Tamandua tetradactyla: one gene and its partner. The protein of the gene in region 1 interacts with the protein of each later gene in a biochemical or structural test. Links are inferred from orthologs where the notes say so. Each region holds a gene or a part of one and is shown on either strand. Other genes may lie near its edges. The genes, in order: PJA1 and NSMCE3.

The links.
Region 2: the proteins of PJA1 (region 1) and NSMCE3 form a complex in vitro, tested with the Homo sapiens proteins (2 studies listed by BioGRID). The link is inferred for Tamandua tetradactyla from reciprocal best matches to the Homo sapiens genes PJA1 and NSMCE3.

Annotation. Positions count from the first base shown.
Region 1 is NC_135353.1:103,330,379-103,343,590, forward strand, and holds PJA1 (E3 ubiquitin-protein ligase Praja-1), read left to right. Parts: upstream 1-6,667; 5' UTR 6,668-6,793; exon of another isoform or gene 6,794-6,844; intron 6,845-8,622; 5' UTR 8,623-8,851; coding exon 8,852-10,762; 3' UTR 10,763-12,815; downstream 12,816-13,212. UniProt on the Homo sapiens protein: Has E2-dependent E3 ubiquitin-protein ligase activity. Ubiquitinates MAGED1 antigen leading to its subsequent degradation by proteasome. May be involved in protein sorting.
Region 2 is NC_135338.1:81,817,853-81,829,246, reverse strand, and holds NSMCE3 (non-structural maintenance of chromosomes element 3 homolog), read left to right. Parts: upstream 1-7,532; 5' UTR 7,533-7,672; coding exon 7,673-8,530; 3' UTR 8,531-8,985; downstream 8,986-11,394. UniProt on the Homo sapiens protein: Component of the SMC5-SMC6 complex, a complex involved in repair of DNA double-strand breaks by homologous recombination. The complex may promote sister chromatid homologous recombination by recruiting the SMC1-SMC3 cohesin complex to double-strand breaks.

The DNA of each region.
Region 1 (13,212 bases):
GTAAGCCTCTAGGTCATGGTAAGGAGTTTGCATTCAAGCCAAGAATGACCCCTAAAGTCCCCAATATTACTCTGACTCCCCACCAGCTGATCAGCACGTTAGAACTCAAACTCGTTGCCTGAGGCAGGGGCTTAAGGGGCTTGGTTCAGAGCAGCAGAGTTATCAGGCCTGGAGGTAGAACCTAATTGAAGAAGCTACTCCATACCCTGTACCTCTGAAGAAGTCTAAAGGTGGGCCTCTTTTTTTTGCAGGTGCCATTTCTTCTCTCTGTTGGGGACAACCAGAAGTGTTTACAGCTCCATCTTGCCTTTTGCACTTCCTCTGGTGTTCCTCTTTTCAAAGGGGCTCATTTTCCATAATCTCAGCTCCCCATTTGTGTATCTTCCACCCTTCTGTTGTGAAGGGGGCAACCAGAGGTAGGGTTTAGATCCGAGGCAGGGCCAAATGCAGCTATTCCTGTGCCAGATGTTGATGTGCCTTCCAACCTTACCCCAGCTCCTGCCCTTGCCACTCCCCCATCATGTTCTGTGAGCAATGCTCTTCCAGCTGACATGGCCACAGCACTTCCCTGCCCAGGCAGGTCCCACCACACACAGACTGGCAGAGTTTGCATAGGCTAGTACCACCTCTCCACTGCCAAGATAGGAACGGTAAGATTTGGAGAGGGGAAGAGATCCACCCAGGTTCTTGCCTGTGAACCAACTTGTGTCCTTGCCTTTGGACCCTGCCTTCTTCCATTCCCTGCCATCTCCCCAACACTGTCAGCTGACTCCCTTCTCTCCAGAGGTTGACAGAAGCAAAGAAGCACTAAGGGAAGAGGGGATGCCCAATGGAAAGAGGGTAAGGAGAACCTGCCTCTCTGCTTCCATGTCCCAGTTATCCCTCACCATCCACTCAGCCCACAGAATGTCCAAGCACAGGGAGCCAGTAAGTTCCTCTAGGCCTCTGCCAGGGAACCCCCTGCCTGGCACAGCCTCCCTTTTAGGCAGGAACTGTAGCCACCCCACTCCACTCACCTCAGACCAGATGCAGCCTGGAGCAGAAGGAAAAGTGTGGTTTTGGAGTCAACAGTCCTGGCTCCTAATTCCAGCTCTGCCACTTCTAGCTGAGTAGCCTTGGACAAATCCCTTAAGATCTCTGAGCTACCTCAGCAGGTAGCCATGAAGATTAAGTAATAAGAGAGCAGATGTCAGGTACCTGGCCTATACAGTAGGTGTCTGACAAATGTTTGACCACTCCCCACACTCTGGGTTTGCCCCTCCAGCCCTGCTTCCTCAGCCATCTCCGTGTCCTGTCTAATTCCTGCCAGAGAACTTTGGGGGTGAGGCTGGGATCAGATCTTGGTAAGAATCTCCTTGGCTATGGAGAGAAGAGAAGGGAACTGTGGCACACAGTAGACAGTCCTAATCCCTGAAACTCAGCAGGAGGCACACCGTGGGAAACCAAGCCAGGGGAAAAGATGAAGGAAGGGAAATCAGAAGGAAGGAGGAGGAGACAGGTGGTTTCAGGGCCTGTGGGAAGGCAGGACATGGGGCAAAGGGGCTGGGCAGCATGGGGCACCATCCAGCTGGACGAGGCAGTGCCAAGAGGATTGGAAGAGGTGCCAGTATCTCCAAGAACATCAACCAGTTCCATACCCCTACCCTATACTGTCAACACCCCTTTTCAACATGAGAATAGTGAAAATGCGCATAACCCAAATATTCCTAAAGATTGGGAGAGGAATCAAAGAAGGAAGAGTTTTAACAGAGAAGTTGGAATTTAACAAATGAGTATGACTATTGGATCATTATATTGATCTTTCTTTTTAATCTCCAGTGTCTTGAAGCAGCTAGAAGGAAAAACCCGAAATAGTGGAACTGTAACCCATACCAAACTTTGAAATGTGTTCTATAATGAACTGCTAAAATGTATATGGAAATTTATTGCTTTTTTTGTTTATATGTTATATTTCACAGTAAAAAAAAAAAAGCAAAAAACAACAAACAAACAGGGTTTTCACTCTGGCCCAAGGCAGACTGGTGTTTCTGGCCTCCTGGGGATATTTCTTTTTAGTCTCCAGTGTCTTAGAGCAGCTAGAAGAAAAATCTTGAAATTGTGGATCTGTAACCTCTACCATACTTTGAAATCCGTTCTATAGCTACTTGTTAAAATGTACTTTGAAATTTATATCTTTTTTGTATATATGTTATGTTTCACAATAATTAAAAAAAGGGTTGTGGGAGATAAAGGAGGAGGCCTCTGAGCTGCAGGCTGCTTGAACCTCTCTTAATGGCAACTCCTCTCAGTTTGATCTGGGAGCACAGCACCTCCACTCAGGCTCCACAGGGGAGTGATACAGGGCAAGGGGGAGTGGGTTCACATCCATGTCCAAACACCTGGCTCCTGGGTGCATTTTGCTGAAACATATCCACTGGCTCACCTGCCCACCCCCACTCCCCCAACCCTTGCAGCCAGGAGCACCCACTAGAGATGCCAAGCAGAGGTCAGTGAAGACCCGAGCCAGAGTCAAAGCTCCAGCTGTGACCAGGAAACTTTGGAAAGGGAGAGGGGGTATATGGGAGCTCTCTATACTTTCTGCTCACTTTTTCTGGAAACCAAAATTGCTCTTCAAAAATAAGGTGCTAAAGAAAAAAAAAGAAAAGTAATCTTGGTAGCAGTATTACTGACAAGACTGACCTTAACAACAAAAGCATTATTAGAGATAAAGGAAGACATTATTTAGTGAAAACATGAGCAAGTTTTCGAGAAGACAGCACAGTCTTGACCCTACACTCACTGTATGTGTTTTAAAAGCATATATAAATGGTGCTATAACATACGTATTCTCTTACAACCTGTATTTTTTTTCACTCAATATGGTTTTCCAGATTTCTCCATTGCAATACATGTAGATTCAGATTCTGCATCTAAGCTGCTCTCTAGTAAGGATTCTATTGTAACTTAATTGTCCATGCCCCTTTTGATAACCACGTAGGTTCCGTCTAATTTTTTATGATTAAAAACCAATGCTGCCATGAATATACATGCATGTATTTCATTTCCATCATGTACAAGTATATCTGTATAATAGAATTGTTGAAATAGATTTTCTGGGTCAAAAGTGTGTGCATTGGTAGTTTTGATAGATATTGCCAACTTGCCTAAGTATGAAGGTTCTACCTATTTATTTTCCTACCCGCATTGTTTGAGAGTGCCCATTGTTTCCCACTCTCGACAGCGCAGTGCTTTATCAAACTTTTTCAAACATTATCATGGTCAGTCTGATAGAGGTAATTAGTGTCTCGTATTTTTGTGAGTGAGTCTGAACATTGTCATGCATTTAAGTGCTGTTTGTATTTCCTTTTCATGATACCGACCATTCAATTTCTTTGCTCAATTTTAAATTGGTTTGTAAGGTTCTTATTGATTTGTAAGAGTTCTTCATGCATTTTGGGAAATTAGCCCTCTGTCTATGAAATGAGCAGCAAATATTTTTTCCGGTTTTTCATTTGTCTTTGACTTTACTCAGGATTTTATTTTGCCTGTCAGAACATTTTATTTATATGTAGTTGAATCTTTTATTTTTTTTTTCCTTCCATGTATTTTGTCAAACTTGTAAAGGTCTTCTACATTCCTGGGTTATAAAAAAAACATACTGTCACGGATTGTTTAAATAATTTTTTTAAAAAGCAGTTTTATTCAGATACATTCAAGTCATACAGTTTATCCACACTGTACAATCAGTGGTTCACAGTCTCATCATGTAGTTGTACATTCATCACCGTATTTAAGTACTTTTATAATTTCATATTAACATTTAAAGAAAACACTGACTAGGAGAAGATATTTGCAATTGTACAAATATAACTGACATTTGATATTCATAATATATAAAGAATCCCTAGAAATCAATAATAACCAAAAGAACCTTAATAGAAGAATGGACAAAGGGTATGAACCAACAATCTGGAAAAGAAGAAATCTAAATGGTCAACAAGCACAAAGAGATACTTGGCTGCTTGGAAATAAAAGTAATTTAGGGAAAAACAAAGTCAAACAACAATGTCCTGTATTCATTGGGTTGGCAACAATTTTAAACTGTGAACCCACCAAGAGTGTTGGGACATGGGGAAACATTGATGTGAATAAACTGTAGCTGGGAATGTAAATTGGTATAGCCACTTAGAAAGCAAATTGGTGATATCTATTGAAGTTGAAAATGCCCCCACCCCCTACCCCTGGCTCATCCCAAGGATTCCTACCTCTTGGTATTCATACCCTTGTGGAATCTCCTCCTTTTCAGTGTGGGCTGGATCTAGTGACATACATTTAATGAATACAGTATAGCAAAAGTGATGGGATATAACTTTCAAGCTTCGGTTGTAAAAAGACTGTGGCTTCTTTCTTTGACTCTCACTTTCTCATTGGCTGCCATGTTGTTAGGAAACCCAGGAAGCCTGGGTAAGGCCCACATGGTAAGGAATTGGCGTGTGACAGCAATTACACAAGCAAGCTTGAAAGGAGATCTTTTGAGGTCTGCCAATATCCATGTAAAAGATCTTGAATGTGGACCTCCCACCCAGCCCAGTTAAACCTTCATATGAGCTTGCAACCCTCGCTGGTGACTTGACTGCAACCTCTTGAGAGACCTTGAGCCAGAGGCACCCAGCTAAGCCACATCTGGGTTTCTGACCCACAGGACCTGTGAGATAATAAATGCTTATTGTTTTAATACTAAGCTTGGGACAATTTGTTATACTGCAATAGATAACTACTACATATGCTTTGATGAGAATTTCTACTATAATAAACATGCACTAGAGCAGTTTTTTTCCCAATCCTTTGCACATCAGAGCTCATATTTTTAAAATGCTAATATTTGTACAAATTCACTGGGATGAACAGCTGGGCAGTAGTTGGCCAAGCCCTAGGGAATCAATATATCAAAACACTCATAACCCTTTTAGGACTCTCTGCTCTAGAGAAATTCTCCCATTGGGGCACATGGAGCTATGCAAGAAGGGTCTGAGGATCTGAAAGAAAAACTATTTGCTCAATCTATATGTCAGGTACAGGAATATGTGTCCTTTACCCTCTGTACTTTTTTATGTTTGAAATATTTAAAATTTTTTCATAAAATAAAATTTATCCTTTCTTGAGTGCAAAAATACATATACATTTGATCAGGCTTATTGTATTGTTCAATTTCTCTATGTCGTTATTTACTTTTCAGTCTATTTGATGTACCTATACCAGAGAGGTGTGGTTAAAGTCTCCCACTGTACTGGCAGACTTCCAGATCTCTCCTTATATTTCTAACGGTATTTGCTTCATACATTTTGAAGCTATGTTGTTTGGTACACACATTTTTGGTGACTGTCATGTCTTCTTGGTGAGTGAAACAACCTGTCTGTTTCTCTTTAATGCTTTTTACTTTGAATTCTTAATTTTTCTGATGTCAACGTTGGTACAAGTCACCCATTCCTTCTTCCTTCCCTCCCCTCCTTCCATCTCTCCCTCTAATCTTTAACTGGTATATATTTTCCAGTTCTGTTTCTGTTGTGGATGATAGTCATATGAACAGCATATAGCTGTTTTTTTTCTAAATGAAATGCTTGAAACATGCGTTTGCTTTTTAACAGACGTTAATCCGTAATACACCATTTAAATACATTATTTAATTGTAATAAATTTATTTGGATTTATTCCTGCTTTTTTGTTCTCTTTTTATGTATTTTCTTTTTGATCCCCTCATATCCTGTCCTTTGTTAGACTGAGTTTTTGTCTTTGTTCCACGTATTGTTATTCTAATGGTTTGCAAGTTTTACGCATTTTACTTCCAGGAAGAACAAAATTTTACAACTATGCTCAACATTGGAAGTATTCACATTCGATGCAAATATTAGAGTTCCATTATAAAGTACAAGTAAGAAAAAGTTCTGAGGTATAACTCCGAAAGGGACAACTACATTTTTTTTTCGTTTTGTCTGGAGGTGAAGTTTTACATCACGCAAAAGTAACCACTTCAAAGTGTACAACTCGGCGGTATTTAACACATTCACAATGCTGTGCAACTACCAACTCTATCTAGTACCAAAGCATTTTCATCACCCCAGAAGAAAATCCTGTATTCATTAAGCAGTCAGTCCCCATTTCCCACTAACTATACAGTATGTTTTAAGTGCAATGCAGCTACCGGGATGTGAACCCGTTTTGTGCTTCCTGATTGACCATCTCTCTTAGCTAGCGAGGCCTGATTTTTGTGATTCACAGCAACAAATTCTATCCTACACAGCTTCAATTTGCCTCCCCCATCAAGTTAAAAAAAAAATCTAAGCTTACTGCAACACTGTTTGCTGAAATTGCATTTTAAATATTTCCAGTCCAAACCAGTACATAGACTATGGGAATATGCTTATATTAATATGATTTCTTTCTCATTGGAGTCAGTGGGAGAAAATTTGCAGATTTCATTTTATATTCAAACAAACCCAGAACAGAAGGGTCTGTCCGCTAAATGTTTCACATTTGTTCTATCTGACTGTTGGCTACATTTTCCCCTGTCCCTTTTCTGTATCCTTGACGATTTTATCATTTAAAATGAAATAATGCTCTCACGCCGGGCCTGATTTGTCGCGAGCAGCTGCCGCCCCCGCCACATCCAGGGGGCGGATCCCAGCCTACGTCACGATCACTTCCGCTGTCTGGCGGGGGCGGAGCTGGAGACCCGGGAGCAGCAGCTCTGACGGTCGTGGCGGTCGGAGGTTCAAGGTATCTGCTCCACCGAAGACCGTGCGAGCGCCCGGAGTGGGTGAGTGCGAGGCGGCTTATTTCCTCGGGTCCTCCAGACCCTGGCGGTGGGGTGAGTGGCCGGGCGTGGAGGGGGCGTGGGAGGAAAGGCAACGATTTGCAGGAGGCGGGGGGTTCTCGTTAAGGGATTTTCGGGTTCGCCCCTCGGGAAGGGGTGGAGCGGGCGCGGGCACGGGACCTGCCTGCAGAGTCCTCGGCCCTCCCTCCTCCCGAAGAGGGGGTTTCAACCTCTGTGGCCGACCTCCTGCGGGTGACGCGGCCGCGCACTCGAATGGCTTGAATTGCTGTTCGAGGAGGGAGTGGTGGTCGCGGCCCTCTCCCTTTTCCCTCTGCCGCTCTCCCCCCACCCCCACCCTCAACCCCACTTCTCCCCTTCTCCTTCCTCAGTCCCTTTGTGGAACACCCCACGGCCTGCCTTCCCGCATTTTGCCGTTGTTTTGCTGAATGGTAAATGGTTAAGGTTGCTAGTAGGTAACAATGTTGTTCCCGGGAAGAGAATTGTCAGGAAAAAAAGATATATATTCCCAGGGAAAAACTATACCCGGCTCCTTTTCTACCCCAACTCACCCTTCCCTGCCACATAGGTTTGGGGCTGCTGTTTGAGCTGATGACACTTTCCTGTCTCTCATTATGACATTGCGGCCCCCTTCGCCTCCCACCCTCTCTCCCTGTCCTCCCTGCACCCTCCATCCCCCACCTCCTTCCGTTCATTCTCATATGCCCTCCTGTGCATCCCCTTTCCCACCAGCACCCTCAAGATCCCAGCGCTGTCCCAGCCCCCATGTGTGTGCCGGCACACACACACCCTCACCCCCTCCAGTTCTTCCCCCCCCAACACTGCCTGCCACATACACACCTCCAAGACAGGCCCCCCTCCCTCTGCATGCTCTGGCCAACACACACACCCTCTCCTTCTCCCTGCCTGCGAGACATATACACACACACATATCCCTCAAGTGCTCCCCACTCCTGCTCCCTGTCTGCCACATGTGCTCCTTTTGCCAGTCCCCATGGCCACGCACACTCAAACTCACACTCATACAAATTCTTCTCCAAGTACATATTACCATATTCTCACATCCAGACATTCTTTCATTTCTGGCCCTTGTTCCACACACACGTCCTTCTCCACTGCTGCTTACTGCCCCCCATCAGCCCCACGGCCCACAACATTTGCTCACACTGATATTGCCCCATGTCTGCCTACCATTTTGATGCACACACAAACTCACAGACACCATTCTCCAGTGCCACCATACCCTCCCCTGCCTGCCACATGCACATAAACACAGGCACCCCTCCACAGATTTTTACCTGCCACTCATATAACTCCACATACACGTTCTCTTTTTCTCATATGCACCTCTGTCCTCTGAAGCCATCCCACCCATCCATACCTGTCATTTTCACACTTAGACCCAGAAGGATCTCATTCAAACACTTATATCCCCTCCTGGTTCCGCTGTGATCTACCTCTCCCCCTATAAACCCAGACATCTCCCCACTGCAGGATGACTGGTCCCCCTTCCACCTGCCCCTCTCCTTCTGACAGACATGTATGCACGCACACACATGCGATGATCCATAGTTTCCACTCTCTGCCAATTTGCATTTCTTCTGTGTATCTGTGGGGCTCTGAAAAATGCAGGCACTCCATAAAAAAACCCACAGCAGTCTTTCCTCTTCCCACATTGGTGCAGTTCCAAAGTGCTTCACCCACCTTCTGAGCGTCCGGTCACCCCCCACCTTCTGTCAGATTCTCCCTTAAGTCTGACTCTCCTACAAGCACAGTTTTGTAATCATTTTGCCAACATTAAAAATGTGTTCCAGGTCTACACCTGACAGTCACTGGAATGCTACTCCAGGCCTTAGAAGAAAGTGAAACTAATTTTAAAGGCCCCTTATTCTTTCTGTTACCTGCCTGCTGAAGTGAAAATAAATCTCCCTGCTCCTTTATTCTGAACTGATTTGACTTTCCCATCTCCAAAGCGTGTGCAGGGAGCCAGGACCCTTGGCACCTGAGCCCCAGCTGTGTTGGAAACCTTCCTAAGTCAGAGCGATGGGTCAGGAATCTAGCAAGCCTGTCTGGCCCAAACCAGCAGGAGGGTATCAGTCCAATACAGGCAGGAGGTATGGAAGAAGGCATGCTTATGTCAGTTTCAGGCCTTCCACGAGCCAGCAGCACAGGATTTCCGGCCAGAGAAAGACAACCTCCGAAGTCCCAATGCACAGATCCGCCCCCAGTCAAACCACCAAGAGGAGCCGGTCACCGTTTTCCACCACTCGTCGTAGTTGGGACGACAGTGAGAGCTCGGGAAGCAGTCTGAATGTTGATAATGAGGACTATTCCAGGTATCCGCCCAGAGAGTTTAGGGCTTCGGGTGGCAGGAGGCCCATGGCTTATGGACATATTGACTTTTACGGGGCGGATGATAGTGAGGAGGAGGGGGCTGGGCCTGTTGAGCGACTGCCAGTGAGAGGGAAAACTGGCAAGTTCAAAGAGGATAAGTTATATGACCTGGAGAAAGGGGCGAGGTCTTTGGCTGGGGTGCCACTACAGTTCTCTAGTTTTAAGCATGACGTGAGAGAGGAGCTTAACAAGTTAGACCCAGCCCCTGCAGCAAGAGGCTCTACTGGCAGAGCTGAGTTAGTACAGCAAAGTAGCAGGGCCTTGCAGACATCTTCTGCCAAAGGCAAGGTGACTATGACTGGTGACAGCCTGGGGAGGGAGAGACAGAAGCAGAATTTACCAGAGCGTCCTGGCAGGGCTCCTGTGAGTATTTGTGGTGGTGGGGACAACACCCTGAAAGGTTCAGAGGAACCAGTGGTAAGGCCTAAAATCAGAAATATGGCAAGCCCAAACTGCGTGAAACCAAAAATATTTTTTGATACTGATGATGATGATGATGATATGCCACACAGTACTTCCAGATGGAGGGACATGGCCACCACTGATGAAGTCCCCTCCGATGGCCTAGTGAGAAGAGGCAGAGGCGAAAGTTCAAGTGGCTACCCTGGGCCAAAATACCCTGAAGAAAAGAGAGAAGCAAGGAGTGACCAAGTGAAACCAGAGAAGGTGCCAAGACGACGGCGCACCATGGCTGACCCTGACTTCTGGACCTACAGTGATGATTACTATAGGTACTGCGACGAAGACTCCGACAGTGACAAAGAGTGGACCGCTGCTTTGCGTCGCAAGTATCGAGGGCAAGAACAAAACCTGTCCTCCAGTGGCGAAAGCTGGGAGACGTTACCAGGAAAGGAAGAGCATGAGCCCGAGCAACTTGGAGCCAAGGCCAGTGGCAGTGCCAGCCCTGTGGCTGGTGCCAGCGCTCGCAGCAATGGCGGCAATTACCTGGAAGAAGTTCGAGAGCCCTCTCTTCAGGAGGAGGAGCAGGCATCCCTGGAAGAGGGAGAAATCCCTTGGCTCCAGTACAATGAAAATGAGAGCAGCAGCGAGGGGGATAATGAGTCTGGTCATGAGTTTATGCAACCTGGGGTGTTCATGCTGGATGGAAATAACAACCTGGAAGATGACTCCAGTGTCAGCGAAGACCTAGAAGTGGATTGGAGCCTCTTTGATGGATTCGCGGATGGACTAGGAGTGGCTGAAGCCATTTCCTATGTGGATCCCCAGTTCCTCACCTACATGGCACTTGAAGAACGCCTGGCTCAGGCGATGGAGACTGCCCTTGCACACCTGGAGTCCCTCGCCGTGGACGTGGAGGTGGCCAATCCGCCTGCGAGCAAGGAGAGCATCGATAGTCTGCCCGAGATCCTGGTCACCGAGGATCACAGCGCGGTGGGTCAGGAAATGTGTTGCCCGATTTGTTGCAGTGAATATGTGAAGGGGGAGGTGGCGACAGAGCTGCCATGCCACCACTATTTCCACAAGCCTTGTGTGTCCATTTGGCTTCAGAAGTCAGGCACCTGCCCCGTGTGCCGCTGCATGTTCCCTCCTCCACTCTAAAGACCAAGGTGATTTACTCCTGGTCTGATCATTTTCCCCATGCAAAATCCACAATACTGCAGGAGCCCTCTCAAAATTAACAATTGAGATGAGAAACCAATCAGTCAATTAAGCCAAGTCTGTTGATTCCTTGTGATCATTTCCAATGTGAAAATTGTTGTGTATGATTGCATTAAAAAAATCACACTGTCTTTTAGAGGTTAAAAAAGAGAAAACTAAACTTTCTAAATGCTACTTGAGATTGCATTAAAGTACATAAATTTTCTAACCTGAAAGTTGCAATAAGTTGCATTTCTTTTCTTCAGTAGGATGCTGAAGTTGCTGTTAACTGTATTGTCAAGTTTCTCTGTTAAATATGTCCAAAAGACATAATCATTTTTGTTGCATGTTATGGGTTAACATTCCTGTAATTGCAGTGTGGTAAAAGCTTATTAAAGTTCTCCTTTTGGTTTTACATGGTATAATGGAATTGTTTGGTTTTGTCTAAAACAGTGGGACTAAGTGATTTCATGATTAAGCCCTTGCATTTGCATAAAAAGTAGAAGCTTTTGGTGTTCCTGACAGAAGAAAACCTTTCCTTTCATTGAGAGTGTTGATTCCAATAACAGCAGCAAAAAAAAAAAAGGTAATCATTTTTAAAAGTAGAAATCAAGTGTCTGGTTGTCAAACTACTACCAAGGAAAAGGGTGGAGAGAGAATACCCTGCCTAAGGGAAGAAAAGAAGCAATGAGGAAACATGGTAATAGTGAAGCATGTTGGGAGGGATAAATCCAGAGTGTAGGTGGGAGTGGGTTAAAATCACATTTTAGAAAAAAGGAACACTCAGATGGGATGGGGAAAAAATAAAGCTGTATGCGGATTACATATCTTAACACAGTGACACAGGGATAGCAAAATCTATGCCAGTCAAGTGCTACCAAAAAAAAAAAAAAAGAAAAGAAAATACAGAAACTCACCTCATAGAGTAAACAGATTTTAACATTTGGCCATATTAGTTTCAGATTCTCTCTCTCTATATATAATCTCCATTAAATAAAAATTTCCTGGCATAAGTGAAGTTTTTCACCCCATCACATTTGGCTTCTTTCCTTCACAGAGGTAAGCAATACCCTGGAGATAGTGTGTTTACTTGTCTATGTTTTTAGATATATGTATGTGTGTGTGTGTATATGTATATATGTATACAGATATCTATAACCGATATAGAAAATTTATGTTTTTAAAATGGTTATAAGTGATAGAATGTATGTATCGTTTTGCAACTTGATTTTTTCACTCAACATTGTTTTTCTGAGATTTAGTCATTTTAATAGATGAGGATCTAGTGCATGCATTTTAACTGCTGTATATTAACTATTCAGTTGTATGGATTATCACAGTTTAACCATTCCCCTATTAATGGACATTTAGGCACTTCCCTGTATCTTGCTGCAGTGAACATACTAAGAGTCTCTGTGCACATGTGTAAGTTTCTCTAGGGCAAGTACATGGAAATGGAATTGCTGGGTTGGAGCCTCTTCACCCTAACTAGATGCTGCCAAATTGCTTTCCTAAGCGAGTGTACTAATTTATGCTCCTACCAACGGTTTCCAAGAGCTGTTTGCCCACATCTCCAGCAGCCTTGATAATGTTGGGTAAGATTCAACCTCACTGTAGTCAGTGACACGTAAATTGAAATAGTAGCAAAACATACCATGTCCGTTAGGAAACAATTAAGTTTTTCATTGTGGTACTATGTAGTTTTGGCCAGGATGAGAAGCAGTGGGGACACTCATATGCTGTTGGTGTGAATATACACTATAGCAGTGATTTTGGAGAGTACTTGGGGTTGTAGCTGTCAGAACATAAAACCGGTGCATGTCCTTCAAGCCAAGTTGAATACTTTGGTAGTATAGGATTGCTACTATGCAGCAGTTAAAAATTGTATGTACTGATGTGGAACGATCTCTAAAACATAATGTTAAGTTAAAAAAGCATATTGTAGAGCAATATGTACAGTCTGGATGTGAAATAAAACTTTATGCAACCAAAAACTTTATATGAAAATGTCTGGAAGGCTCCATACCCACTGATGGCAATGGTTCCCTCTGGGGAGGGACAGGGGTTTGGGGGAGAGGAAGGAGGCTTTTATTTTCACCCAAAGTAATTAATTGGCTTGACTTTCTTTTACAATGTCAGTATATTCATGAATGTTAGCCAAGTAAGTAAAACATTTTTTTAAATGGCAGTTTTAAAAAAGCAAGATCATTCTTATTCTCTCATTGTAAGTATGGAGACATGGGCAGAGGCCACAGTCCTTTGTGCTGCTGCTGGCCAAGACCAATAGCTGATGTTTATGACTTTGTTTTTCCCCACCCCACTCTGGGTTCCCCCTTTGCCTTCAGCCAGCATCTTGGCTGGTCATGGAGATTCAAGAGTATGAGTCATTGGTGGGGGTGGGGCAGGGTTTT
Region 2 (11,394 bases), on another chromosome or scaffold:
TTGTAAGATCCATAAGATATCTCCCAACATTTTCCTCTAACTGTTTTATGGTCTTAGACCTAATGTTTAGATCTTTGATCCATTTTGAGTTAATTTTTGTATAGGGTGTGAGAGATGGGTCTTCTTTCATTCTTTTGCATATGGATATCCAGTTCTCTAGGCACCATTTATTGAAGAGACTGTTCTGACCCAGGTGAGTTGGCTTGACTGCCTTATCAAAGATCAGATGTCCATAGATGAGAGGGTCTATATCTGAGCACTCTATTCGATTCCATTGGTCGATATATCTATCTTTATGCCAATACCATGCTGTTTTGACCACTGTGGCTTCATAATATGCCTTAAAGTCAGGCAGCGCGAGACCTCCAGCTTCGTTTTTTTTCCTCAAGATGCTTTTAGCAATTCGGGGTACCCTGCCCTTCCAGATAAATTTGCTTATTGGTTTTTCTATTTCTGAAAAATAAGTTGTTGGGATTTTGATTGGTATTGCATTGAATCTGTAAATCAATTTAGGTAGGATTGACATCTTAACTATATTTAGTCTTCCAATCCATGAACACGGTATGCCCTTCCATCTATTTAGGTCTTCTGTGATTTCTTGTAACAGTTTTTTGTAGTTTTCTTTATATAGGTTTTTTGTCTCTTTGGTTAAATTTATTCCTAGGTATTTTATTCTTTTAGTTGCGATTGTAAATGGGATTCGTTTCTTGATTTCCGCCTCAGCTTGTTCATTACTAGTGTATAGAAAAGCTACAGATTTTTGAATGTTGATCTTGTAGCCTGCTACTTTGCTGTACTCATTTATTAGCTCTAGTAATTTTGTTGTGGATTTTTCTGGGTTTTCTACATATAGTATCATATCGTCTGCAAACAGTGATAGTTTTACTTCTTCCTTTCCAATTTTGATGCCTTGTATTTCTTTTTCTTGCCTAATTGCTCTGGCTAGAACTTCCAACACAATGTTGAATAATAGTGGTGATAGTGGACATCCTTGTCTTGTTCCTGATCTTAGGGGGAAAGTTTTCAATTTTTCCCCATTGAGGATGATATTAGCTGTGGGTTTTTCATATATTCCCTCTATCATTTTAAGGAAGTTCCCTTGTATTCCTATCTTTTGAAGTGTTTTCAGCATTACTTATTTTTTTTTATTTTCAACATTTATAATCTTGAATTCCTGAAATAAATCCCATTGCTAATGGTGTATAATAATTCTTTTTATATTTTGTTGGGTTTGATTTGTTATTATTTTGGTGAGGATTTTTGCCTTTGTATTCATAAAGGATATTGGTCTGCTGTTTACTGTGATATTTTTTTCTAGTTTTGGTAACAAGATCATCCTCAACTCACAGAAAGTGTTGGAATATTTTTTTTTCATCTTCAATTTTCTGGAAGAGTTTTTAAAGGGGTGGTGTTAACTATGTGGTAGAACTCACCAAGAAATTCACGTGGGCTTAGGTTTTTTCCTTTGGGGGAAATTTTAATAGTACTAATTTAATCTCTTTGTTATAGTTCTATTCAGATTTTATTTCTTCTAGAACAAGTTTCATTAAAATGTATTTCCAGTAACTTTTACTTTCTTTCAATTTATCTAATTTGTTGGTATATGGCTCCAAGCATTCCCTTATAATTGTTTTTTTTTTTATTTTTTTTATTTCTGTAGGGTCAATTTGATGTCCCCTCTTTCATTCCTGATTTTATTAACTTGAATATTCTTTCTTTCTTGGTCACTCTAGCTAAAGTCTTGTCCATTTTATTGTTTCTTCAAACTCGTGGGTCAACTTTAATAAATGTAATTTTTTTCTTATTCACCTGTCAAGGGTTTTGTACTTCATTTCTCTGTAGGTTACATTGTTGGAATCATTGGGAAAGTATTAGAATGGCAAGTGGTAGGAGAACTGCAGTTTCTGGCATGGAAGATTTTGCTCTAAGGGCCACAGTGAATCAAAGGGCACACTATATACACATCTGCTGAGGCACTATGAAGAAGCTTCTTGGAGTCTACCAGGTCTCAGAGGGGGGTAAACTGGTGACTCCAAACCTCAAGGCCTAGCAGCATTTGACCTTCCTGTGAGGCTCCCTCTGAGAGCAATTGGTCAACAGCCTGAGATAGGTTCCTGGAGGAGTATCCTTATCAGGAAGCCAACTATTAAGTTTCTCAGAAGGGATATATAGGCTTCTGCTAGCTGTTACCCCACAAATACCACAAAATGCTGGGTTTTTCGAGGCTTGGGGAAGGGACAAGTCCTCTTCTCATCAGGAACCTAAACTCTCACTTGCAGGAGGAAGAAACCCTGTATGCCTTTCTCTTCTACAGCTCCTCCTTGGTGCCCCTGTCCTCTGGGTACACATACCTCTACTCTAAGCTAATAATGTGGAGTCTAAAAGAGAGACGATTCTGTCAACTTTCATAGTGCAGCCAGTAGGGAAATGCTTTAGGTCAAATATGGAGAAAACAGCTACTCTAGATTAGCAGATGCTTTAAAGTAGGTTCTAATGTTCTGAAATTCCTTTCTGTGGGGATTAGGTCATATGTACAGTCTGTATGAAAAAGCACAGCCATTCATGATCTCTCTCCTGCCTTTATTGCCAGCTACTTAAAAGGTACATAAGCACTTCCTCAACCACAGAACACTGCCAAGAAACTTAAAAATTATTTTGTATTCAGATCAATTTAATTACATACAAGTGTGCTTACAGGTAATATTTACCTTGTCCAGCTCCATTTATGTGAAATAAATTCTCATTCCATAGTATACTTTTTCTCCCTACCTAATTGGTTTGGATACCAATTTAGCCACAAATTTTTCAGTTTCAAGTAAGAGGAATCAACTCTATGCAGTTTAAGCAAAAGGAGATTTTACTAGCTCCAGTAACTAGTTATCCTTACAGTCCAACCTTGAACTCTGGATCCAGAGATTCAGATGGCAGCATGAGAAATGTCTCTTCATCTATTAGGTCCTCTTTGAGTTAGCTTTGGAATTTTCTAATAGAACTTAATCATTTTCTTAAGAAGAGCTTTTTGTACTAAATGGTTACAATGCTTTTGGAAAGCAATAATCTAGCCCCAACGCCCCATCCCTTCCACCAGCCAAGGAAAGCTCTGCTTCTGTTTAGAAATGCTTAATTTCATGACGGGCAAAATGTTATTAGGCAGTTTATCATGTCATCTAAGTAGGAAGGATCTTTGCTACAAATAGTAAGCACAAACAAGAGATTGTATTGCCAACATTAAAATATTTGTATTGTTTTCCCTATTTACCCACTAAAATAATCTTTGTCCCCAAGTCCCTTGTTCATATGCTCCATGTTTGTTGTTCCACTTTCTTTCACTGGAAAAGTCAGGGAAGTTGCTCACATATGATAGCCACATACTTATTTTTGCATGGGCAAGCACCCGCATGGCAGGTGACAACTTTGCCTGCTGAGCCACCATGGCCTGCCCCTATTATATGATTTTATCATTGCCTTTCTTCCCCCAAAAGTCCTCACCTACTTTTAGCACTAGGTTGCCTGTTAGAAAAGTTAAAACCTTTCTTGGATCCTGTGAGAAATACCAGCGAATGATGAGGAAAATTCTGTAGAGAATAAGGATGAGTACTTTCTTAGCAGGCATTTGCTACCAAGGAGATGAAATAAAGCATTTAATTAGAGACCTCTAAAGAATTATTGGTGGTAGGTATTTCTTTGTTCAATGCATTTGAAATCTTACCTAGCTTAGTTTTTGCCTCAAAGTATGAAGATTATTAGCAGAAAGTGTTTGAAAATGTATTTCTTTTTTAACATCTCTTTCCTTCACTACCTAAACAAAAAGTCACAAATGACATTCAAACCACATCAAACTGACTGAAAATTTGAATGTGTATAACTGTTATGGCATGATGTCAAGAAAAGTTAAGCTTTGTTGAGAATATATTTACATTTATTTCCCAAGCAAGACAACCTATATTGAATTTATTTTTAAGAGAAAATAATTTTAATAGGAACTTGTTTTTCCCAGACGTTTTTTGATTTTTGTATGAGCACATTTTTAACTGTAGTATCTTTCTCTATATCACTTTGTGTAACCCTCAAATATGTATTGACTACACTGCCAGGCTGTCCTTGGTGCTTGGCAGACCTTTCTTACTTAGTTCCCAAGGCCAGGATCAGAACTCTAAATCTGGAGTATCAGTAGCTTTCTGAATGTCTTAAATGTTTCTAATCTAGGACCATCTGATTCCAAAGCCCTTACTCTTGCAAAGACACCAGGTGTGTTTTCTGCATATCAACATATGGTTAAGAGCACAGGCTCTGGAAGCAGACTGCCTAATTCAGATCCCAGATCCCGGATCTACCACTTAATTGCTGTGGGGCTGCAAACCCCTTATATATCTTCTCTGGGCCTCAGTTTCTTCATTTGTGAGAAGAGGAATACAATAAACGCACATGCCTTATATATTTGTTGCAAAATTAAATGAAGTAATACATGTAAATCACTTGGAATAAGGTCTGATCCAGTTACTTTTGAATTATCATTAGCCATTGTTGTTCTTCATATTTATTATTACTGTGCTGGCTTGAAAGGAAGTATGCCCCCTAAGAAAAGCCATGTTTTAATATAAATCCCATTTCATAAAGGTAGAATAATCTCTATTCAATACTGTATGTTTGAAACTGTAATGAGATTATCTCCCTGGATGATGTGCTTTAGTCAAGAGTGGTTGTTAAACTGGATTAGGGGATGACATGTCTCCACCCATTTGAGTGGGTCTTGATTAGTTTCTGAAGTCCTATAAAAGAGGAGAATGAGAGAGTCAGAGAGCAGAGAATGCTGCAGCACCACGAAGCAGAGTCCACCAGCCAGCGACCTTTGGAGATGAAGAAGGAAAATGCCTCCCGGGGAGCTTCATGAAACAGGAAGCCAGGGGACAAAGCTAGCAGGTGACACCGTATTCGCCATGTGCCCTTCCAGCCGAGAAAGAAGCCCTGACTGTGTTCGCCATGTGCCATCTCACTTGAGAGAGAGACCCTGAACTTCATTGGCCTTCTTGAACCAAGGTATCTTTCCCTGGATGCCTTTGATTGGACATTTCTATAGACTTGTTTTAATTGGGACATTTTCTTGGCCTTAGAACTGTAAACTAGCAACTTATTAAATTCCCCTTTTAAAAAGCCATTCCATTTCTGGTATATTGCATTCTGGCAGCTAACAAACTAGAACAATTACCATTCTCTATATTTATTATTGTGATGATGATTATTATCACCACTGTCATCACAATTTGTTCCCACACATCCATGGTTTCCCATGTCAGTCTGAGGTGGAATGTTGGCTTGGGTTACTCTCTATGCACTGCTTAAAATTCTAACACTATTTGATGCTTGTATTTTCCCACCTGCATTCTTCTAGACAGTGTAGAGCTTGTTTTGTTTGTTTTAATTAGAGATGTGGGCTTAAAGAAAAATCAGGCATAAAATCAGGGTTCCCATGTACCACCCTATTATTAACACCTTGAATTTGTTACAATTCAAAGAATGTTTTTATAATTGTACTATTAACTATAGTCCATCATATACAACACGGTTCACTATGTTATATAACTTTGTTTTTGTTTTAATTTTCATTCCAGTAACATATACACAAACTCCAAATTTCCCCCCTCAACCACATTCAAATATATAAGACTTAAAATCTACTACCTTTTCTCATCCATTTTAAGTAATAAAGATTTGCTGCCTGGGTAAGGATGCTACTGAAGGACCCTGCTGATTTTCACAAGGTCACAGGGGAGTCAGATGGATGGGGCTGCTTGGTAATTTAAATAAAACTTATTAAAAAACACTGAAACCCCAGACTAGTTGTTGAAAATGGCTTTCAACTTTTTATTTTCCATTGTTCCTTTATCTTTTTATTGGTGACATTTTTAAACTTAAGGTACAACTGATCATTCTGTGGAGACCTTTTGCAGAATTCTAGATAGACTGCAGGAGTTTTTTGAACTTGAGTCTGAATTTTAATTTCCAAGTAAATTTTGAAGATTTTTTTTTTCTTGTAAAAAAAAAATGAAGGCATTAATGATGTATTTATTTTTCTTGGTGGTGGGTCTTTCATTAAAGTGAGGATATGTTATTGTGCCTTGTGTAAAACAAAGTTGTTACTCCATGCTTACCAGATTTGTAGCATACTTGTATCACAACATGGAATACCTTTTATACTTAATATTGCAGTTCCAATGCTGTTATCAAATTTCATTTTCATACTGAATTACAAACAAAAAGTCTATGCTAACATTTAATGAAATTTTAATAAGGTTGTTATTTTGAGGTTATTATTCAAATATATTCTGAATTGCTTTCCTTTGAATATATTTTGCATTAAAGAAGAACTCAGTTTGATTTAGATTTTTGTACAGTTTACCCACTTTATAGAGTAGCTTCAAAAAGGCAAAGAGGGGAAATTCATTTTCTTTTGCGAGGTGGTATGATTTTAATTAAGTAATAGCAGCAGACTGCTAATGGTTTAAGTTAATGAAATAGCTCTTTCGGGCTATTCGAGTTGCACAATTAAAAATATATATACAAAGTGCACATATCAAAGATTATGAGGGATAACAGCCCGGGATTCTCTTTTCTTTCTCCTTAAGCTCTAAGGCTGATCTGTATTAAGAATTAAGAAATTCCAGAGTGACATTTTTGTAATTCAGCATCTGTGGTACCCCAAATTAAATGGCAATGTCTTGAGAGAGCATGCTTCTGTTTGTACCATTCCTCTTACCCCATTCCAACTAAAATTGTGGTTGTGGGCCCAAGGCAGTGAACTTGAACCTAGGGGTTCCAAAAGATAAATTGCTTTGAGCAAGCGAAAACCTCGCATTTAAACACGCTGTACGTGGCGGTTTTGTCAGAACTGTCCAGCTGATGCAGTTTAATGTGGAAAATACAAAAACTGAAATAGTGAAAAGGAGGGGTAATTCCCGCTCGCCAAGAAAACCTACCTTCATCAAACATTTTAAAATAAACTCTTGGGGACACGAAAGTTAACTGGGCGATCATAGTTAGGGGAAGGCGTGGCGAAGGAAAGTCTGACTGTCTCCAAATAGAAGTTTTCCGGGTTTTCCTCTTTTTTAAAAAAAATCCACGTTCCCTGTAGAAATAAATGCTTTTCCTTTACTTTTTACAGTCTTCCCTTCTTCTTCACCCTGTTTTTCTCCCATATGCATCCTCTGAGTTCTCGCCACTTAGAAACAGTCCCAATGTAAAAACTCTTAATACTCACTTTCTATAGAACTTGCCTGAGCCTGTTTCAGCTTGAATCTTGCCGCATACTAGTTTAGGAGTTTCGGTGCCAGCTCTCTATTTGTATGGTTTGTTAAGGATAGCACTTAAAATGATTTAAAAACAAACAAACAAAAAAACGAGCTACAGACAGCAAGCCAACTACGCGCGCTCTTCTCTCCCGCCGACGCGCGGCATTCGCGCAGACGCCACGAACGCCACGCCCAAGTTCCGCCAACGTAACAAGAGTTTTCAGTGACGTAAGGCGCGCCCCTCTGGCCCCGCCCCGGGACGTGCCTTGCGCAGGCCCAGATGTGACGTAGCGTGCCTCGCGTCTCCGGCGGCTTCCGCGATCCTGCTGCGGTCCGTTACCGCGAGCGGAGTTCGAGCCGGCGCCGGGAGTCCACCGCCGAATGACATGCTGCAGAAGCCGAGGATCCGGGGCCGTCCTGGCAGCCAGGCCGAGAGGGAAAGGGACTCGGGCCACGGCGGGGAGGAGGCTCCGAGTACCTCTCGCGGCACAGGCAGCTCGCAGGAGACTCTGAGCGCCTCGCCCAGGGGCACCCACGCCAGTCAGGCCACCCCTGCGGTGGGGCCCCGCACGCAGAAGCAGCTAGAGCTGAAGGTGGCCGAGTTGGTGCAGTTCCTGCTGATTAAAGACCAGAAGAAGATTCCGATCAAGCGTACCGAAATCCTGAAGCATGTCGTCGGAGACTACAAGGACATCTTCTCTGACCTCCTCAAGCTCGCCGCCGAGCGCCTCGAGTACGTCTTCGGGTACAGGCTGGTGGAACTCGAGCCCAAGAGCAACAGCTACATCCTCATCAACACCCTGGAGCCGGTGGAGGAGGATGCGGAGGTGCGGGGCGACCAGGGCACGCCCACCACGGGCCTCCTAATGATCGTTTTAGGGCTTATCTTTATGAAGGGCAACACCATCAAGGAGACTGAGGTCTGGGACTTTCTTCGTCGCTTAGGGGTGTACCCCACAAAGAAGCATTTGATTTTCGGGGACCCAAAGAAACTCATCACCGAAGAGTTCGTAAGGCAGCGTTACTTGGAGTACCGGCGGATTCCGCACACTGACCCCATAGACTATGAGTTCCAGTGGGGCCCGCGTACCAGTCTGGAAACCAGCAAGATGAAGGTGCTTAAGTTTGTGGCCAAAGTCCATAACCAAGACCCCAAGGACTGGCCAGCACAGTACTGTGAGGCTTTAGCAGAAGAGGCTGGTAGGGCCAGACCTGAGTCCGGTGGTCCGGCCCCCTCCTCTTGAAATCATACACAGATTTTTGGAGACTTCCCGGGGGAAGGGCCTCGGGCCCAAAGGCTGGTGCTGAGGGACGGGGGGAGAGGGGACAGTGGGCCATCTTTCGTAGCACTTGGAAGTATGTTAACTTTAGGATTTGTTTGCAAAGTTTTGTACCTTTAACATTCTTAATTATTTGATTCCAAGTCGACACATACCAAAGAGAAGGATGTGGTCGTCGTGAGGTTGTTTTGATATGCTTTATTTGTCTGTATTTTTTGGTATAAAACTTTTGCCAGCTTTGTGAAAGTAACTGGGGAACTGCACCATAATCCGGAACAGACTTGTAAGAAAGAACACATCGGTGAATTGTTTGTTTGTTTTTTGTCCCAAGAAAATAAAAGCAAAATGGCTATTATCTGGCTTCATAACTACCCCAGTTTGTAAAGAAAAATAAGTGTCTTTATAAATTGAAAATGAAATGTAATTGCCGGTGTATCCTTTTTTGCTTTAACACAGCTGTTTTATTGTTATATATTTTCCTCTTATAGAATACATTTTGAATGGTTCCAACTAGTGTACATAATTTATTTTCTCCGAATAGCAATTTTTAAAATCTTACTATATAATCATACTTATTACTCAGTTCTGTTGCTGACCATTTTATTTTTCCTTTTTGTGGTTTTAGTTATAATCAGTAATGTATTTTTGAAGCAGTTAAGCATTGTATGTTTTTTCAATCGTGGGTCATGAGAAGTTGTGACTCAAAACCACCACCTTAAAAAAAAGGAAAAGATAGTTCGTGCTACTTTATATAATATCATAAGTAGTGTTTTTTAGAAGTTGTTTCACTTTTATTTGTGTGTTTATATTGGGTCGTGATGTAAAACATTTTTTGCTGCAGCTCTCCCAAAAGTTTATGAAACAGTGGCTTATTAATGAACCATGCTTGCTTGGGAATCAGACTGCTTAGATGCATATCCTGGCCCCACCACTAACTTGGAGGAGGATGCGGAGGTGTGGATATATGAATTTAGGTTAGTTATTTCATCTGGGACAGATGTTTCCTCACCTGTAAAATGGAAGTGATGATGCCAAATCATGTGTGCTAGAACAGTGATTACATGTGACAGTGCATGTACTTGGCACAGTTGCTTGTAGGATTTTAGTTGTTACTTTGTTCGTAATTTTTTAAATTTGATTTTTATTCTCCTTCATTTAGAGCTTGATTTTGTTTTTTTCTTAAATTTTTTCTTCATCCTGGGCTAAATCATTCCTAGAAGGGGAATTCAAAAGTAGGTTCAAAAATTATGGCTGACATCGTGTAGTTGTTTTTTTTTTTTTTTACATGCACAGGCACCAGGAATCAAACCCAGGCCTCCGGCATGGTAGGTGAGAACTCTGCCACTGAGCCACCGTGGCCCACCCTAACATCATGTGGTTTTATGGAAACATAACCACATGGCATATGGCACCCACAGAGAGTAGTAGGAGCAAGAAAGTTCAAAGTAAAGTCTCACCAGGGCTTTGAGATGGTATCGTAGGGTAGTGAAAGGGTATGGGTTTTGAGGTCATTTGACAGTTTAAATTATGGCTCATGCTAACTTGTCAACATGGTCATTTGGAGTAGGTTTTAAGCTCTGTAAGTCTCACCTTTTTCATAAAATGATACAAATAACTTATATCATGGCTTGTATTATGGGTTAAATGAGATTATACCTTTAAAGTACCTAGTAGAACTCCATAGATGTTCACCATCCTTCCTTCTAGAGTAAACTAAGACAATTGCCACACTTGTACATTATTACTATGATGTATCTTATAAATCGGAATTTAGCACTTGAAGGATTTAAATTATCTCTCTTAACCCAGCCATTTCTTTGAACACTTGTGGAAACTGAAGCTTAGGACACGTGGACTTAGAACTAGAACTAGGCTAAGAACTTGGATTCAAAACCTAGTTTAGTGCATTCTATTTAGATTCTTATTGCAACAAGAAAATAGAGTTTTACCATGTCACCTCAAGTATCAAAGGATCTAGGAAAATTCCAACATCTTGGCTGAAAGATCTAGGAAAATCCTAACAGCCTGGCTTGGAGAAAAAGAACCTTAAACAGGGAATAGCTGGTAGTTGAGCCAAACCAGCCCTCGCCACAAAGTTAGTCCTTCCTCTTGCTCTTTCACTTCCAGCTGTCTCCTGTCAGGAGACATAGCTTTAGGTAGAAGAAACCTCCCGTCAGGAGAAATAGCTTCTTCTCACTGTATTTCCCCTTAGCATCAAGCAAAATGCTGTTTGTTTACAGGGATTCAGCCAATTATTTTATTAAGTCGGTATAATTGTTGGGGGGGGCGAAGGTGCTGCAAATGAACCAAGGTAAATATTTTCAGGAAAAAAAATGCGGACTCGATAAACACTGGACTAAATGCCATTTAGAATTGTCTCTGGTGAATATATGGTGGATATGGAGGGATGTGATAAGTTAGAGTGTTTTATTTCATTCTGTTGAATTAGGATTTGCATTTATTTCATCAATGGAATATAGTTGGTCCTTGAAGACATTTTTTCTTGGTTTGCATTTTATTTCAGGGTATAAATTACCTACTGACTAAGAGTTCTGCCTACTAATCAGTACTTCACTGGCACTGCTTTCTACACTTGGTGTGTTTTTACACTTGCATTTATACCAATATGGTGAAAATTATCAATATTCTCACCTTCCCAGAGTTAACAAAAGTTTGTGGGTATCATGCTGTTTTATAATTGTAGGTTTTTACCTCATATGTGTGTATACATAAACGATATAAGTAAAGCATTACTTTGTGAGTTTTTACAACTTATCTAAGTGGTAATGCACTGTGCATATCCTTTTGCAACATGCATTTTTTCACTC